2 linked regions of the Pelodiscus sinensis genome follow. The protein of the gene in region 2 purifies or fractionates together with the protein of the main gene of each other region. This does not show direct contact. Links are inferred from orthologs where the notes say so. Each region holds a gene or a part of one and is shown on either strand. Other genes may lie near its edges.

Region 1 (9,462 bases), on a different chromosome or scaffold from region 2:
AACTAATCTGATAGCTTTCTTTGATAAGATAACGAGCCTTGTGGATAAGGGAGAAGCGGTGGATGTCATATACCTAGACTTTAGTAAGGCATTTGATACGGTCTCGCATGATATTCTTATTGATAAACTAGGCAAATATAACTTAGATAGGGCCACGATAAGGTGGGTGCATAATTGGCTGGATAACCGTAGTCAGAGAGTGGTTGTTAACGGTTCTAAATCCTGCTGGAAAGGGATAACAAGTGGAGTTCCTCAAGGGTCTGTTTTGGGACCCATACTGTTCAATATCTTCATCAATGATGTAGATATTGGGATAGAGAGTACGCTTATTAAGTTTGCAGATGATACCAAACTGGGTGGGGTTGCGACTTCTTTGGAGGATAGGGACATAATTCAGAATGACCTTAGCAAGTTAGAGAAATGGTCGGAGGTAAACAGGATGAGGTTTAATAGAGAGAAATGCAAAGTGCTCCACTTAGGAAGGAACAATCAGTTCCATACATACAAGATGGGAAGCGACTGTCTAGGAAGGAGCATGGCAGAAAGGGATCTAGGGGTCATAGTGGACCACAAGTTGAATATGAGTCAACAGTGTGATGCTGTTGCAAAAAAAGCAAATATGATTCTAGGTTGTATTAACAGGTGTGTTGTAAGCAAAACTCGTGAAGTCATTCTGCCGCTCTACTCTGCACTAGTTAGGCCTCAGCTGGAGTACTGTGTCCAGTTCTGGGCGCCACATTTCAAGAAAGATGTGGAGAAATTGGAAAGGGTACAGAGAAGAGCGACAAGAATGATTAAAGGTTTAGAGAACATGACCTATGAAGCCAGGCTTCATGAACTGGGCTTGTTTAGTTTGGAAAAAAGAAGATTAAGGGGGGACATGATAGCGGTTTTCAAATATCTAAAAGGGTGTCACAAGGAGGAAGGAGAAAATTTGTTCCTCTTGGTTTCTGAGGACAGGACAAGGAGTAATGGGCTTAAAGTGCAGCAGGGGAGGTTTAGATTGGACATTAGGAAAAAATTCCTAACTGTCAGGGTGGTCAAATATTGGAATAAATTGCCAAGGGAGGTGGTGGAATCTCCCTCTCTGGAGATATTTAAGAACAGGTTAGATAGACATCTGTCAGGGATGGTGTAGACGGAGCTTGATCCTGCCTTGAGGGCAGGGGGCTGGACTCGATGACCTCTCGAGGTCCCTTCCAGTCCTATGATTCTATGATTCTATGATTCTACAGTCCCATTTGACCAGCTGCTTCATGTTCCACTAGAGAACACAGAGAAGGGAAGGCACTGAGTTGTTAGGAGTCAAGTGGGCTGAACCCGCCTGCACCTAGAAGTGGCAGGTGCCTGAGTGGAATCTGCCCTGCTACAACAGCCCTTCAGGTAGCAAGGCCAAATGGAAGGCAGAAATCTGGAGGGGCAAGTGACCCCATCTGTTCACCCCACATGTCACCTCTGACTCCTAGTGCAGACCTTGGCTAAGTTTCCCTCCACAGTCCCATCTCTCGGTGTTTGCAAAGAAACCCTTGAAAATGTAAAAGAAGTGCCAGCCTGACTGCATTAGCAGAGAGCCTGAAACAATAGATCTGACAAGTGTGACCTGCTCCATTCATGTCGAGGGTATTTCCTCAACATACTCAATGCTGATACCTCAAATATCAGCATCTACTTCTAAGGTCAGTCGTATCATGAAGATCTACACAAGCTTGAGTGCACCTACACTTTTACCACCCAGCTACCATTTTCCCACAGCCATTGTAACCCCACCTCTTCCTGGGTCTCTCTCTACTGCAGCTGTCCTTAGAAAGCAGGTTCTCACAGTTTGGGGAGGAAAGCAGGAAAGGTAATTCAGATTCAGGCTATATTAACTTGTGTTGGTGTCTACTACTCTTTATGTGCAGTAGAGTCCACAGGAAAGCAGCTGGTCCCACCGTGTGCTTCTCTCTACACTCCACAGAGCCCTCCTGGGACACTTTTATGGGTTGAAGGGAAGTGGAAGGGAATGTGTCACAGAGGTAGAACTCCACTGAGAAGTTTGGCTTTTTAAATGGTGAAAAATGTATGCAGTGAGGACAGCCCCCATGATCCAGGGGTAACATGCTGGATCTGGGTATGAGCTTGTTCCCTTGGGAGCACAGCAGATGCTCCCCGAGGCAGAATTTCAGCCCTTGGGGGAGCTGACACTCCAAATTGTGATTGAGTAACCCACTCTTGCTCAGGCTCAGAGGAACAGCACTGAGCTTTATTGCTCCCCGTTGAGGATTTTGGGGGCAGGGTGAAAGGTGTTCCTGTTTGGACTTCTGAGCATGAAAGGGCAATTAAAAGTGAGTAAGTAAGATTTGGAAGGTGCCGCCTCTGGAAGGAGCATATCCCATTTTCTTAAAAAGGTGGCATGTTAGAAACAGGTGAATAACAATGACAGAAATCCATCCAGTAGCATTGGTAACATTTTCACCCCTGACAAAGGGTGAATTGCACTATAGAAAAGTTGAGCCTGTTCTCTAGGTCATTTTGTTTCCTCACATGTAAAGGAAATCTAAGAAAAAGATCGTCAAGATAAATTACTAGGTGCAAGTGTCCAAAGCCTAGCACATGTCAGGCCTTTCCACTACATCCCTAGTATGCATTAGGTTACAATATTTTGATCTGTTTAGATTCTATAGGCCATAAAGTATTGAAGGTAGAAGATCTTGACTCTGTATTAATATTAACCAATCATATGCTACTTCAGTCTGGTTTTCCACACTGGATCTTAAAAGTGATACTGGTAAATGAAAATGAATCCAAGGCACAGGGAAAAAATGGCTTTCATACCAGGGCAAGGCCTGAGATAATTTAAAAGTGTGGGTTTCTTGTCTTTTGAGAGGGTTCTGGATAGAGTATTACTGCATGGCACATTTGTTATATCTATGCTTTTCCAATCAATAATATATATGGTGCCTACTGATCTTCAGCTACACCAGACTAACAGGGCTACATTTCTATCACTGCTGATCTTAGGGAATTCCGGGCAGAGGATGGACATAGCTATAAAAGCATTTTATTGAGAAATTGATTTAAACTCACTAATCATAGGAAAATGGCCTCTCAGTCCATCCTTTATTAACCCTGCTGTGAAACTAGCGATAAGGGAAGATTGAATATTAATTCTGCAGGCCGAGGTGGATTTAAGTAAGTCCGTGGTTGCTTTTATTAAACAGGAAATTAAACACAGGAACCGGCTTTGATTTAACCTCTTCAGAGCTGACACGAAAACCAAGCACCATAGCCTCTCCTCTCCTCTCCACCCCACCCCGCCTAGTAGGAGGCACCTGCTCTGACGATGCACTAATAGGAATGGGCATGGCTGTAAACTGGGACGAGACCAGGGAGACAGGCGAGAGGGCTGGTGAAACGCTCTGGGAGGCCAGCTAGTGCATCCCCCCGCTAGCAGGTCTGGTCTCTCTAGTTTGAAAGGTGCCGGGCTTTGTCCAGACGGAGCGAGGACCCTCCGATTTAGGAGAGCGTCACTCAGCTGCGGTCACCAGAGCACTTTGCATCCTGTCAGCAACCGCAGAGCGGTCCCGAGCTGTTTCCTATGGGGGGGGGGGCGTTTTCAGTGCCTGTCTTCCCCGCCCTTTTCCATGCAGGCTGGCTGCTTTCTCCAGTGCTAGAAAAGCCGAGCAAAGAGAGAGCGTTTCTCGGCCCCCTGCCCCCTGCCAGCTTTTACACTCGGCATCCCGGGCGCGTCCTTCCCCACCTCAGAGCACCAGGCTCGGGCAGGTGACGCTGCGGGTGGTACCCCCAGAGACACGCGCCTCCCTCCACAGGCTTTACCTTGCTGGGCTCCCGGGCAGCTGTGGAGCGGTTCGGCGCAGCGCTCCCCGGCCAGGGCAGCTGGGAGGAGGTGGACAGAGCCCGGCGCTCCCCGGCAGGTTGACTCCCCAATGGCTGCTGCCGCTGCGCTGTGTGGTGGTGCCCCTCTCTGCAGCGTGATCGCTGCTGCTGCGGCTGGGGAAATGCGCTGCCTCGCGCTGGCCAAGCTCCTCCCGGGCACCGCCGCTTCCCTCCTCCTCCTCGCCCCTGGCACTGACATCTCCCCGCCTCCCTGCAGCCCAGCCCCGCGCATCTTCAGCGAGAGAGGCAGCCCCTCCCCGAGACACACTCACGGGGGGCGGCGGGAGGGGGCGGTAGCTATCCCTGCCAGGCCCTGGCGCTAGGGACTCGGGGGGGGGGGGGGGGCGGAGGGCAAAAGGGACCGGGGAAAGTGTCACATTCAGGAGCATCAGGGTCATTTGTGCTGCTCGAGTCAGTAGCACAAGTCACATCCAGGCTGACACAGGGACACCTAGTCTGCAACTTGAGTGGAAAGGCCCCATTAGTCATGCCTATGACAGGCACCAGGGCTGCCCACCATTTCAAAGCAGGAGAGTTAGGCCACACCCAGCCTGTGTCATTGGGAAGGGGCACATCCTGTCAGTGACCCCAAATATTACAGGAAACTCAAAAGAACATATGTTTGCCCTACAATACAAAGGCACAAGGGCAAATGGGGCAGAAGAATTTGCTGCATCTGGCACACAGCTTGAAGAATGTCCACATCCAGACCCCAGCACAAAGGCATCAGAGGCTCACCGTGCCCCCTACTAGTTAGTCACATTCAGCTGGGCTGCACCAAATCACAAACCTCACCTACAAAAACAAAGCTTTGCAGAGGGACTGAGGTAGGCCAGTTGCTGTTGAAGGCACAGTGGTCCCCAATTGGAGCAAGGTAGCAAATATCACACACCCCACAGATTCTCTCTTTCCTTTAAGTTCTCCTAAAAGCTATTGTGCCTTGGACAGGAAGACCTGGAAATAGGCTTTAGTTAAGATATGAAATATAAGTACCAAGCTGAGGTGCCTCAATTTTGGGGTGTTCAACTTGAGACACCATCTGAAGAGCAGAACCCTTTTTGCTGCTTCCTTCTTCAGAAGCTGTCCAGGAATAGGGTCAAAGTGGTCTTTTACTGTCATGCCATGTTCCTGAATGGACAAAGCCAGACCATTTCATCATGATAGCAGTAGAGAAATATCTGTCTACTTTTATTGTTATTATGGTAACACTGAAGATGTATTAGGCATTTGTCAAAAACAGGAAAACCAAGTCCACACTCTTTGGTCTTCCAGGTCAAAGATGTAGTGTTTAGTGACACTTTACTGGCCATTTCAAAAGATACATGATACATTATTAACCTAAATGCTGTTATATATTTTTTTGAAATGCCATTATATTTGTTACAAATTAATACAATTCCATGTTTCAGCAATTGCTCACACCACACTTCCTTAAAACCACAATACACCCTGGCTACGTATAGACTACATCCCATTTTCGTAAAAGGGATGTAAATTAGATGTATCGCAATTGCTAATGAAGCGGGGATTTAAATCTCCAGTGCTTCATTAGCAAAAAAATGGCTGCCGCTTTTTTTTTGGCACGGAGCTTTGCCAGAGAAAAGCACCAGTCTAGATGCTGATCTTTCAGAAAATAAAGCCTTTTACAAAAGATCTCTTATCCCTTATTTCAAGAGGGATAAGGGATCTTTCAGAAAAGGCTTTATTTCCCGAAACATCAGCGTTTAGACTGGCGCTTTTCTCCGGCAAAGCTCCTTGCCGAAAAAAAGCAGCAGCCATTTTTATGCTAATGAAGCATGGGAGATTTAAATCCCCGCTTCATTAGCAATTGTGATACGTCTAATTTACATCCCTTTTACGAAAAAGGGATGTAGTCTAGACGTAGCCCCTCAATCCCCATAGAGATGCACTTTTTTATATGTCCTACCCCTGTGCTTCAGCATAGGGACATGTGCTACATCCAGGTCAGTTGGGGCACATCTACACAGCAGAGCTAAACTAGCTAATTGTGTAGCTTAAGTCAAAATAATTTATTTCAACTTTTGGTGCCGTCTACACAGCAGTTATTTCAAAATAGAGTACTCTTCCCCCAACTTCCCTTCCTCCTCATACAATGAGGGTTACAGGAGTCGGAGTAAGAAGTCCTCCAGCTCAACATTATTTCTACATTATGTCTAAATAATTGCTTGTGTGTAGATGCAGACTATGTTATTTTGGAATAGCATAAGTTATTCCAAAATAATGCTGCTGTGTTGACATAGCCTTGGAATAGGAAGTGGTTACATCAAGTCTATAGCTTCATTGTTAGATGACACTTACTCTATCCTAACGATGCCACAATTCAATGTCAAAAGGGAAGGTACAGAAGAAAACAAATTAATAAATAGCAACAGGTTGCCAGTGAAGTCAGTAGGGGTATGTCTACACTACCCCGCTAGTTCAAATTAGCGGGGTAATGTAGGCATACCGCAATTTGCATACGCCGAGTGCCGCCATTTTTAAATCCCGGCTGGTTCGAACCCCGTGCCACACGGCTACACGCGGCACGAACTACCGTTACTCCTCGTGGAATGCCTACCTAGTTCGTGCCGCGTGTAGCTGCGCGGCACGGGGTTCGAACCAGCCGGGATTTAAAAATGGCAGCACCCGGCTTATGCAAATGAAGCCCGGGAAATTCAAATCCCGGGCTTCATTTGCAATTGCGGTATGCCTACATTACCCTCCTATTTCGAAATAGGAGGGTAGTGTAGACATACCCCTATAGGAGTCTATCATACAAAATTTTGAAAGGAACTTTAAGAATAAAATTGCTTATGTATAATAAAACAGCTATTATATTGAGGGATGGAGAGAAATAAATGTTGTTGTTGTGCCTATCTTTACAAAGGTACTTTAGGGGTGCTCCTGGGAATTACCAAACCTAGGAACCAGTCAGAAACCTGTAAAATTAATCAACGCAGTGAGCCCTCTACTCCTTGTGCTCTCTGATTTCTTACCTTCTCTACCTCTGCACAATATGGCTTGTCATTTTTGTTGAATTCATGATCTAATTTAGACTACAAGCTCTAAAGGAGAGTCAAGAAAACATTATTAATAATATCTATTTCAGCATCAATTCATAACAAACAATACATTTTTCATCATCACCCACAGTCTGTCCCAATTCTGTATCTTCACTTTTAATTAATACCTGTAAAATTTTGCAAGTAGTTATGTTCAGCCATGTGATATTAGACAATCATTTAGCTAAATAATTAATGATGTCTAAGGTGACTATGCAATAGGAGAGATGCCAGGTTCTTAAAGTTCCCTGAATTCTAAATTTCTCGACTTCTGAGTTCAAACAGCAGTGGTTTTAGGCCTTTAAATGTATTTTTAGGTCAGCATTTTGAAGCAAGATAATGAATCTTCAGAAATGGATGAATCATAGAACCATAGAGCTGGAAGAGACCTCAGAAGGTCATCAAGTCCAGCCCCCTGCCCTAGGCAGGACCAGTCCCAACTAAATCAACCCAGCCAGGGCTTTGTCAAGCTGAGACTTAAAAATCTCTAGGGATGGAGACTCCACTACTTCCCTAGGTAACCTATTCCAGTGCTTCACCACTCTCCTAGTAAAATAGTTTTTCCTAATATCCAACCTGGACCTCTCCCACCTCAACTTGAGAGATCTGAGATGTTGTACTCCATCCAAAAGAGGGCAATGACAGAAATATGAATAATAGCCAGTATATTAAAACACTTCTCATTCCCTTTGTCACACAAATCTGAGATTTAGGTACAAGCTTGGCCAAAGCATATGTAAATATAATGTAAAAAAATGCACTGTAATAAAATGATTAAACCTCCAGGCTACGTCTACACTGGCCCCTTTTCCGGAAGGGACATGTAAATTTCAGCAGTCGTCGTAGGGAAATCCGCGGGGGATTTAAATATCCCCCGCGGCATTTAAATAAAAATGTCCGCCGCTTTTTTCCCGCTTTTAAAAAAGCCGGAAAAGAGCGTCTACACTGGCCCCGATCCTCCGGAAAAAGCGCCCTTTTCCGGAGGCTCTTATTCCTACTTCAAAGTAGGAATAAGAGCCTCCGGAAAAGGGCGCTTTTTCCGGAGGATCGGGGCCAGTGTAGACGCTCTTTTCCGGCTTTTTTAAAAGCCGGAAAAAAGCGGCGGACATTTTTATTTAAATGCCGCGGGGGATATTTAAATCCCCCGCGGATTTCCCTACGACGACTAGTGAAATTTACATGCCCCTTCCGGAAAAGGGGCCAGTGTAGACGTAGCCCCAATGTCTGTCTATATCCCATTCTCTATCACATGCACACTTGTAAAATATAAATGATACGGTCATGTGTGGAAGGTCCAACATTTGATTGTTTCTTATATTTATGAAGTCCATATACAACTATATTTTAAAATGAATAATAATTTGACAATCTTTTTTACAGTTTATTACTGTAGTTTGTTGAAATACTAAATATTAATGAAAAAAAATCACATTAGGTTATTATGATAAACAATGTGATACACAGCAACAGTTGACCCAACAACCTCTTTATGCTATATGGGAGAGGGCACGAGGTTACAATGATCCTCGAGTCTCGTGTTTATATATTAGTGCTACAAAAAGTGTCATGTGAGATCTCTAACAAAAGCCAGTGATATAATGGTCACCATAATCACTGCAGGATGCATGGGAGGATAATATGTAAGATTATAACACATAATCAGTCTCTGTCTACAAGGCCTTAACATCATAACTTCATATATACATATTACACATTAAGTTATATGTTAAGCCCTTAGGGTACGTCTACACTACAGCGCTAGTTCGAACTAAGCTAATTCGAACTAACGCGTCTAGAACTAAAAACTAGTTCGAATTAGCGTTTTGCTAATTCGAACTAGCAAGTCCACATTGAGTGGACTCTGAACAGGGCTTAAGGATGGCCGGAAGCAGTGCCGGCAGGGCATAAGAGGAGGACTTAGAGCATGGAGATGCTGTCTCAGGCTAGCCGAGGGCTGCGCTTAAAGGGTCCCGACCCCCACCCCGGACACACAGTTCTAAGGGGTGCCCCACTTGCAAAGAAGTTCTGGCTTGGAGTGCCCGGAGTACCCACACTGGGCACATCACACCACTCGGCCATCAGCCCGGCTGCACTTGCCGCAGGCTGCCATCTGGGGAGAGGGGGCAATTGGGGGGCTGCAGGAGAGCTTCCACCCCCAGAAGCCCGCAGAGCCAGCCCAGTCCTCCCCATCGGGGGCTCGTACCCCATTCCTCCCTCACCTCCTTCCACTTACCCTTCCCTAGCCCCCCTTCTTATTGATGTACAAAATAAAGATAACATTTCTTCCAACATTGACTCTGTCTTTATTGAACAAAACTGGGGGAGACCGGGAAAAGGAGGTGGGAAAGGGGAAGAGAAAGGCTGGGAGAGGGGAGGGCAACTAACATGATCAGGGGTTGGGAACAGGTCCCAGATGAAGAGAGGCTACAGAGACTGGGACTGTTCAGCTTAGAAAAGAGGAGATGGAGCGGAGACAGAATAGAGGTCTTTAAAAGCAGGGGTTGGGTGGAGAGGGTGCATTCAG
Region 2 (9,411 bases):
GGTTGCATGTAGTGCATGCAATGGGGGGTTTAAAGGAGCATCGCATATGAAGAATTGACATGAATTTAGAGGAAAAATAACGGAGTGTATAAAAGGATAGGTTTTGGCTGTTAAGGGTGTGTGAGGTTTTCTAAATTAAGTCAGATACATACAGGTTTGCTGTTAACACAGAACTCAAGGCATTTTGAAACTTGAAAACTAAAGGAATATTCGTTAACTGCAGCAGACTGTTTACATGAAACTTTTGTTTGTCATCTTCAGGCAAATTTGTTACAGGGAAGAGAATTTAGGCATTACCTCACTGTATTCACATGTCAAATTCAGCCTCTCTAGATGAGCCGTGCAGAGTTTGGATTGGCACAAGCTCCTCAACAACACATTAGCCTTGTAGTCATGAAGCCACCAAGCTAACTTCAGACATTAAAATACTTTATTAAAGAGGCATGTTTTTATATGTACCAAGGTGGATTTGGATGAACGTAGGTACTTAGAAGATTAAAGCAGCCTGAAAAAGCCCTAGAGCTGTAGGCACTGCCCATGTAATGTACTATGTTCTAATCCTCATGTGTGCTCAGACAGGTAATTGTTTTTCATTATGTTTGGCATTTACCTGCCAATTCAATACCAATAAAATCTGAGCTGGGCCTGCTGCAGTAAAGGAACGTCAGGCAAGATCTGAAGCTGACATGCAGAGGGCAAAATAGTGCTCTCAGTTATGCACAGGGCATAACATTTTTCACAGCTCGGATGATGTATCTAGGTCAATATACGTTTTTGTTGTAGGCCAGGCCTATGAGCAGAATGTGGTCAGGACAGTTAGCCCTACATCACGGCTTATAAATTAATTCTACTTATTGTGGAAAAGTAATTACGGCATTCACTGTGTCCTGTTTACTCTTTTTGGTAACCATCATACTTTTATTCATGTACTTATTGCGGCATCTTCTGTGGGGTAAGGTCAGTGAGGACTGTCCTTCCATTGTTGCCAGCTACTCTTCTTGCCTTTGTGGGGTACTGGCATCGATGGGCGAGCACCTGGAGATTGATGTATTGCATCTGAGCAGATGTGATAAATCAATAACCAATGGATCAACCATTGTAGCATCAATCCCCAGCATAGTAGAGACAAGCCCTTAGATACTTATATAGCTCTCCACATTCCTGTAGTGCCTGAGCACTCTACACTCTTCAATGCATTTATCCTAATATTAATCCTGTCATAAGCCATTATTCCCAGTTGGGGGATGGGGAACTGTTAGATGGAGCCACTGACTTGGGAGAGATGAAACAATGGAAAAGGAAGAGATCTCCAATCTTCCTTAGGCACATGGAGGATTTACTGGGCACAATCATCATGGGTATGTCTACACTACCACCCTAGTTTGAACTAGGGTGGTTAATGTAGGCAACTGGAGTTGCAAATGAAGCCCGGGATTTGAATTTCCCGGGCTTCATTTGCATATTGCTGGGCGCCGCCAAAATGTCCACTAGTTCGGACTCCGTACCCGCGGCTACACGCGGCACGAACTAGGTAGCTCGGATTAGGTTTCCTATTCTGAACTACTGGTACACCTTGTTCCACGAGGAGTAACGGTAGTTCGGAATAGGAAGCCTAATCTGAACTACCTAGTTCGTGCCGCGTGTAGCCGCGGGCACGGAGTCCAAACTAGCGGACATTTAAAAATGGCGGCACCCGGCAATATGCAAATGAAGCCCGGGAAATTCAAATCCCGGGTTTCATTTGCAACTCCGGTTGCCTACATTAACCACCCTAGTTCAAACTAGGGTGGTAGTGTAGACATACCCCACATTACTCTAGGTGGGGAAAATTATGGCAAGATGTTTGCTTTCATCTTGTAATTTACTTGCTACCTCATTCTTATGGCCACCCCTGTGCAAAATGGTAAGAGGTCCCCTCCCCTCAGTACTCTGCCAAGTGGCGAATGGTACTCAGTCCTGTGTAGCCATGACACTGTCCTCATCAGCTGTTACTGCTGTTTCTTCCTCCATGCAGCTGGCTGTGATGTTCTCTGGTTTCTGGTGCTCCATCCAAAAAAGATCAAGAAGCCAGGAGATAGCTGATAGCTAGGGAAGAATGCTAAGGAATTCATTCTCTGCCATCACTAGCTGATGCTAATGTTAGATGATGTTGGGCCATTGAGGCTGAAACTCTGGCTGGCAGTTAGGTGTGCAAATGTGGTGAGTGGCCAGTGAAAATCCTGAGCCATATTCACAGCTTCATAGGTCTAAATATGCTACTGCTATGGTGAAATACTAATCATGAACTAATAACTGTACAAAGTATTTAACAAAATTATACCGAGCAAGTAAGATCTTGTAACTTCTGCAAATGTGCATTGCTTATAAAATTCCTTTCCTCTGCATTCTAGTCAGTTGCAAGCCTGGTCTCAATAATACATCTTATGTCACTTACATAGCAAGTTGATTTAGGCCCCACTCCAGCAAATAATTTAAGCATGTGCATAGCTTTAAATGTGAGGAGTTCTATTAAATTCTATGGACTGACTCGTGATTAAAGTTATGCATGTGCTCAGGTGCTTTGCTGGATCTGTATCTTTGAGACAACATAAAGTTTGGTCATGTGTTCACCTTCCCTCATTCATCTTAACTCCCGTATGTCCTTCTGAAAATCTGTAAATAACGATAGTAAAATAATAAAGATGTTAACACAAACATCTAAAAAAATATTGTGCTCCCTGCAAGCTGCTTACCTTTCCCCTTGTTTTCTGGTGTTTCCTTTCCAGCTCTACTCCATTCCACTGTCTGTTGTCATTTCCCCTTTTGTGCTTATCTATTTAGACTGTAAATGCCTGGAAGCCAGAACCTGCTTTCTTATTTATCTGCCCAGCACCATGCTCATCAGTGACTCTACATAAAGAAATAAACAAGCTGAGTGAAAGAAGAATTATACAAAGACCCCAAAGGTAGCAATGTAATTGCCATGACTACCTCATAAACAAGTAGGGTTGCCAGATATTTTCACAAAAAAATACTGAAAAAAATTGGTTGAGGAAAAAAAAGAAAAAGAAAAAGAAACCCCCAAACAAACAAAAAACAAACAAAAAAAACTGGGGGACCAGTATGTTCTGTTTTTTTTTTTTTACTGGACAGAGTCCACAAATACCAGACACCTGGCAACCCTATAAACAAGTGCCCCCCAAGTCAATAATAAATACCTTTACTTTTTAATTTCAAATGACAACATCAGCAAGCATGACAGTTCAGTTATAAATATAGGGAGGAATCTATAGCAACATTAGAAGATCAACAAAAACAATTAGAGGTCTAGAGAAAATATGACCTATATCTGAGGAAAGTCAAAAAGAATTGGATTTGTTTAGTTTGGAAAAGAGAATACTGAGAGATGACATGATAGCAGCTTTCAAATATTTAAAAAGGTGCTATAAGGAGGAGGGAGAAAAAAATAGGTCCAAATCCAGGCAAGCCAGGGGCTACATCCAAACCCCAGGCCTCAGATTCCACACCCCTAATCTAGATAGAGGTAGGTCCTGCCATGAGGGCAGGGAACTGGACTTGACCTTTTGAGGTCCCTTCCAGTTCTAGTATTCTATGATTAAAGGTACTCCTACTTGAGTGAAAGCCTTACAGTACAACTGTTGAAACTATTCCTTGTAACTAGTTAATGCTATCAGAATGCTATAGATCACTTTTAGTTTTTTTAACAATGAAAGAAACAAAGCCAGCACCCTGAAGAAGCATGCATAGTATGCAAGAGCAAACACATGCTTCCATTGTTGCAACCTTTGTTCTCTCTCCTCCCCCCATTCTTTGTAGCCTTCTCTCTTTGTTACTTCTTATCTTCTAGTTAGTAGGCTCTTTAAACCCTTTCTTAAGTACATAGTATTCATTCAGGCAAACATTACCTTTTACTTCACTGGGACTAAGGAGTGAACGGTTTCAGGGGTGGAGAACCTCAGGCCTTGTAGCCAGATGCTCCCCCCCCCCCACTTGCCTGGATCCTGCTCCCCTCAGGGCTGGAGCACACAAAATCTACTAAGCTTGGCCTCCCAAGATTCTGGTGTGCAAGGGGAATGTCTTTCTCCTTCTGAGTTGGCAGCCACTGTCAGTGAGGGTTTTGTTTTTGTTTCTCACTTGTGTGCTGCCCCTGACTGATTTTTGTGTGGGTCAGTGACCCCCAAACCCAAAAAAGTCCCCCACCTCTAACTTTACAGGCTTATGCAAGACCTTGATCCTGGAAAGACCTATACATATTACAAGTTGCATCGACTTCAGTATGTACTAGCACATGCCTAAATCCATGTCCCAGGTCCCCAAAAGATGTATTGTCTTTTGGCTGAGACAATACTGGGTTTTATTTGTAAAGTGCCATACACAACAACAGCACTGTATACACCAATCAATGAATAAATCAACACAGAACTACAACAAAGAAGTCAAACAGATGAATATGACCGATGGTGATGAAAATATTTTTGGGGGAGGGGCGGGGGGAGAGAGGTTTTGTCCTGTTCTGTTTAAAAGCCAGAGGGCTGCGAGTTATATACTAAGTTCACTTCCAATCACAGACAATGAGTCCGATTCCCAAAGCTATTTAACTGCCCAACTTCTGCTGATTTCACTTGAGTGGCCCCTGTTTGCAATGAACAGCAACCTACTGTATGACCTTCTGCCCCCCGCCGCAAGAATGCAGCCACCTATGTGTAACGCAGCCTGTAGGGGTCACTGTCACAAGTGAAAGTTGCCCTGATGCCGAAGAGGATCCTAACCCAGCCCCCGCTGCCAGCTTCTTCCCCCAGCCAGAATTCCTCCAAGAGGCTGGGCTGCCTTCCAGCTGGTCTGCCCGCCCTGTGCATTGTGGGACTCGTAGTCCTCTCCGGCGCAGGCTTGCTTGGCGCTAGGGGGAGGCGGGACTACAAGTCCTACAAGGCCCGCGGGGCAGCTGGCGCTGGCCGTTCCTTTTGAATGATTTCACTGCGCTGTGCCTGCCCAGCGCGTTTCGCAGCAGCCTGCCGGAGGAGGCAGGGAGCATGGTGTAAGGGCCGGGCGGGGAGGGGGCTGCCGCCGGGGACGAGAGCCGCCAGCCTAGCGCCCAGCCCGGTTCATGGCAGCCGGGGGAGCTGGCAGCGCCGCAGCGGGGCCAAGTTGTGCTGGCGCAGGGCGGCCCATGGCAGCCCAGCGGCTGCGGGGCTGGTAAGGGCGCTGCGTCCGTCCCCTCACTGCCCGGCTCGCCCCGCAGCCCCCCTCGCTGCGCTGCCCCGTCGGACGGGGCTGGGAGGCGCCGCGCCCGGCCGGCCGAGATGGCTCTGGCCACGGAGGAGGAGGAGTACGCCAAGCTGGTGATGGAGTCGGAGCCCGAGTGGCTGCGGAGCGAGCTCAAGCGGCTCTCGCAGGAGCTGGGCGAGACCACCCGGGAGAAGATCCAGGCGGCGGAGTACGGGCTGGCCGTGCTGGAGGAGAAGCAGCAGCTCAAGCAGCAGTACGAGGAGCTGGAGGCGGAGTACGAGACCATCCGCTCGGAGATGGAGCAGCTGAAGGAGGTGAGCCGCGGGGTGGTGGCCCGGGGTGACACGCCGGGAGTGGGCAAGGCAGGGAGCGCGGCGCAGCGGCCGCAGCACTGTGTGACTTTGGGGGGGGTCCCCTCCGCCTTGGGGGTCCCCTCAAGGTAAAGCCGCTGCGGAGCCTGGAGTGGCTCCTGGGGCGTGGTCCTCCCCCCCCCCAAAGGCACGCAGGACCGATGATGCACCCGCAGGGCTGCGGCAAGGACTGGCTGATCGCTGCCTGCCACGCAGCGGTGGAGATATGGCGGGGGCGTAGGGGATGCATCGCTCCTGGGAGCTGCTCTGGCCGGTCTGGGCGCGCGGGTGGATGTGATTCCCCCTCCCCGCGAAGTTTGGCTTCAGCTCTCGCTGGGCAGCAGCTGCGGGCTGCATCTTCCAACTGGGCTGGAGCGCAGCATCCTGCCCAGTGCGGTGTCACGGCCAGATCCGGCATCATCACGCTCATCACTGCTGGCGTAATGCTGGGCAGCCCTTTAAAGGGACAGCTCGGCAATTCCTCTAAGACCCTCTGCCCTTCCCATGACATCTGCTGTGTCTTCGCTCAGCTGGGCGCCAGGCACAGGAAAGCGGATACTTGAGGCTAATGCGCTGGAGATCAAGTGCCAGTCTGGGACTGAGTGTGCTCCGTGCAGGGGGAAAGGAATAATGGAAGTGACCGTAATTCTGTTCTTTGCTGCATAATGGTACACAGCCCAGGGCTCCCACAAAGCACCTCTTACATGAACCCAGTTCCCTGACTGTGAGGTGCAATTTGATATTGGAATCAATTTTTTCTCTCAACTTTCCCATCCCCCAGATATACACTGTTTTGTGAATTGCATTATTTCAATCTGGTTGTTTATAAACGGGATAAATATGGGGAGTGAACTATGAGTTACATTAAATAGATTTCCCCACCTAAGTACAAAGCTTTAAAATAGTATTTTATTTTAAAGCAGAAAATTTGTTGAGAGATAACTGTTAGGAGCAGGCCTTCTTATAATAGGTTGAATAATTGATATTGAAATATTGGCTACTGAGCATTCCGAGGATCCTTTCTGCACAGTGCTGAGGGGTCTCTAATAAGTTATCCTTATAAGAAACAGTCTGTAAAGACCAGCAAAGGAATGAATGGCTCTGCATGTGTAGAAATGCCATACTCGGTGCCAAAGATCCACCTACTGCTGAGCCGTTTGACACACTGTGTCAGCCATCCATGTTAGAGCTTTAATGGGACATGGAGCTTCCTGGCAACAGAGCCAAAAGTGCAGAAATAAAATAATTGGCCTTTTGAGCATTAAAGTGTAAAGCAGAGGCGTGTCAGCATTAACTTGGAAATTCCTCGTTGTTGCTGGATTGCCTTAGGGCCAAGTGCAGGCCCCTAGCTTTGAAGTTCCTCACCTCACAAGTGAATGGGTCAGGGGGAGCTCTCACTTTTCCTACTGCTAATTGTTCCAGGCCCTGGAGATCATCTTCTGCAACAGTAGACTGAAGGGAAAACTTCACTTGGCATGGTGATTATAGGGTAATTACAGTGAGGTTTACTTCTTCTCCCCTATCACTCAACTAGGGGTGGGGACAGGTAAATATGCTCCTCAACCCCCCAGGCTCTGTAAACAAAGGCTGGGGAGTCCCTTAATCTTCAGCCAGCAGTGAAGAGACAAAGCACTTCTTTCCATGAGTCCAGGAGTGTTGCTCTTCATCTGTCCATGTTACAGGATGCCCGTGAGGGCAGAGAGCAGCTGTGTTCACCTATTCCTCTGGCCCGCTCAGCACCAAAGATCTAATCCTCCACAGGGTGAAAATGGAAGAGCAGAGGAGTGGAAGAGAACCAGAGAGCTATGGGAGGGCGGGCCTAGGCTGAAGTGGCATAGGCTCAGATCACATGGAGAAGCGGAGGAACTGTAAGAGGCTGGAGATCCAAGAGTGGAAAAACAGGGCTTGAGCGACCAGAACTCCTGTTGAGGGGGGACCAGGTACCTAGGAGAGTAGGGATCGAGCTCCTGCAGAAAGGATTTCTCAGTGCTCATTTGAAAGTATGGAGTTCCTGGGGATGTAGAGGGAATGAGGTGGAAGGGCATATGATGCAATGCAGGGCAGTGAGGAAGAGCATACAGATGCTCTTGTCTGTGGCCAGACTGTATTGGGCTATCTCTCTCTCACAGGGTCCTAGAGCCAGAGCCCAGGCCCCAGCCTGGAAGTCTGCTAAGCAATGAAATGCCTGTCAGCCTGAGCCCCATGAGCCTGAGTCAGCTGGCATAGGCCAGCTAAGGGTTTGTCATTGCAGTGTAGCCATACCCAAATTTGTTTCTGTGCAGGTCTGAGCTTGTTTAAAGCAAACCCCAACTTAAGCTTTTTCCCATCAATAGGATTGTTCAGTCTCTTCATATCTCAGTCTCCTCCACCCTTGGCTCTTTTGTCCCTCTCTCCCATTGTAAGGTCTGTCCTTGCAACCCCTGGCCCTGGCTCACCTTCAACATCTGCTTCCCTCTTTCCTGCTGCTCAGTCTCTGACAATCCCATGACCAGATGGCTTATTTCCTTGTGCTCCCATCAGTCTCTCTTCATTCGTCTGTTATTGCTTGCCTTGTACTTGAATCTGGAGTTTACCTAGAACTTAGGAAAACCTAGTGATATTGTTCAGGGCTGTGAAAAATTTCACATGCTGAGTGCTTTAGTCAGGATCACCTAGCCCCCCATTTAGACATAGCTAGGAGTGATGGAAGGATTCTTCTGGTAATCTAGCTGTCACCCAGCTTGGAAAGGTGGGTTGCCATTACCTGTGTTGCTGGAAAAATTCCGACACAGCCAGCCATGGTGTTGCCATAGCATTGTATTGCAGACAGACCCGGAGACTGTAAGTTGTTTGCGGCGTTACCTGACAGGTTAACTGGTTATCCAGTTAACTACCAAACATTATTCGTAATGATTACTGATTTTGGGCTGGAGCAGCTCCACTGTCTGCCACAGGCGTCTGGAGCAGCTTCTGTCTGTGGCAGGCTCAGGCGCCCTGAAGACAGTAACTGCTCTGGAGGGGGCTGAGAGCCCCATGGGCTAAGCTGCTACTGCAGCCATGCTGGAACAGACCCCAGCCCAGATCCTACGTTAGTCAGTTAATGGGTTAAACATTAGGCTAGCCTGACTGGTTAACTGATCAACTGGGATTTTATATCCCTGGCAGAGGACTGCCTTTTCTGGTTTTGTGTGGTGCCTTGCGCTGTGGGGTCCTGGTCAATGACTAGGTCTCCTAGGCACTATGCTAATACGGATAATAATACTGTAAGCTGAAGTAAAAGTGGGTGCTCTGAATTCAAAGTAAGAGTGGTTACACACACATGTGTACTAAAACTTGTTTAATGATCTTGGTGACACTTTCAATATAGAATCTCAATGTTGGTTTAAAGCTGATTTAGACTTTGCTTTCCCAAGAAAGTTGCAAAGATTTAACCTACAGTGTGAAGGGAAACTGATTTAATGAAACCAATGCAAGCTTCTGTGTGGCCACTTTTATTTGGGTTTGAATCTTTAAAAAAGCTTATGTTAGCTGGAAGCAGGTTGAAAAATGAAACCCAAGCAAGCTGTTCCTACACTGAAAACATGCCCACACAGGTGTTTGCACTAATCTGACTAAATAACTTGAAAAACTATTTAATTTGAACTGGTGCAGCTTTTCCTATTACACAGACAAAGCCTAATTTTTGTTGATTAGAAACCAGTTTAAGCTACATAGATATTAAGGAAGTGCAGTTTAAACTGATGTAAATGTGTCTACATTGGGGGGTTTGGTTTGTATGCCTGTGACCAAGTCGGTTTAAATTGATTTACTTACACTGGTGCAAGTTTTCTGGTATTGCTCAGCTTCCAAAATATAC

What was found.
Region 1: the proteins of BICD2 (region 2) and DYNC1I1 purify together in Homo sapiens (affinity purification with western blotting; 4 studies listed by BioGRID and IntAct, with this or other methods). This does not show direct contact. The link is inferred for Pelodiscus sinensis from reciprocal best matches to the Homo sapiens genes BICD2 and DYNC1I1.

What each region holds. Positions count from the first base shown.
Region 1 is NC_134712.1:211,286,649-211,296,110, forward strand, and holds the start of DYNC1I1 (cytoplasmic dynein 1 intermediate chain 1), read right to left. Parts: upstream 3,950-9,462; 5' UTR 3,817-3,949; intron 1-3,816. UniProt on the Homo sapiens protein: Acts as one of several non-catalytic accessory components of the cytoplasmic dynein 1 complex that are thought to be involved in linking dynein to cargos and to adapter proteins that regulate dynein function.
Region 2 is NC_134721.1:31,014,227-31,023,637, forward strand, and holds the start of BICD2 (protein bicaudal D homolog 2), read left to right. Parts: upstream 1-4,920; 5' UTR 4,921-5,300; coding exon 5,301-5,540; intron 5,541-9,411. UniProt on the Homo sapiens protein: Acts as an adapter protein linking the dynein motor complex to various cargos and converts dynein from a non-processive to a highly processive motor in the presence of dynactin.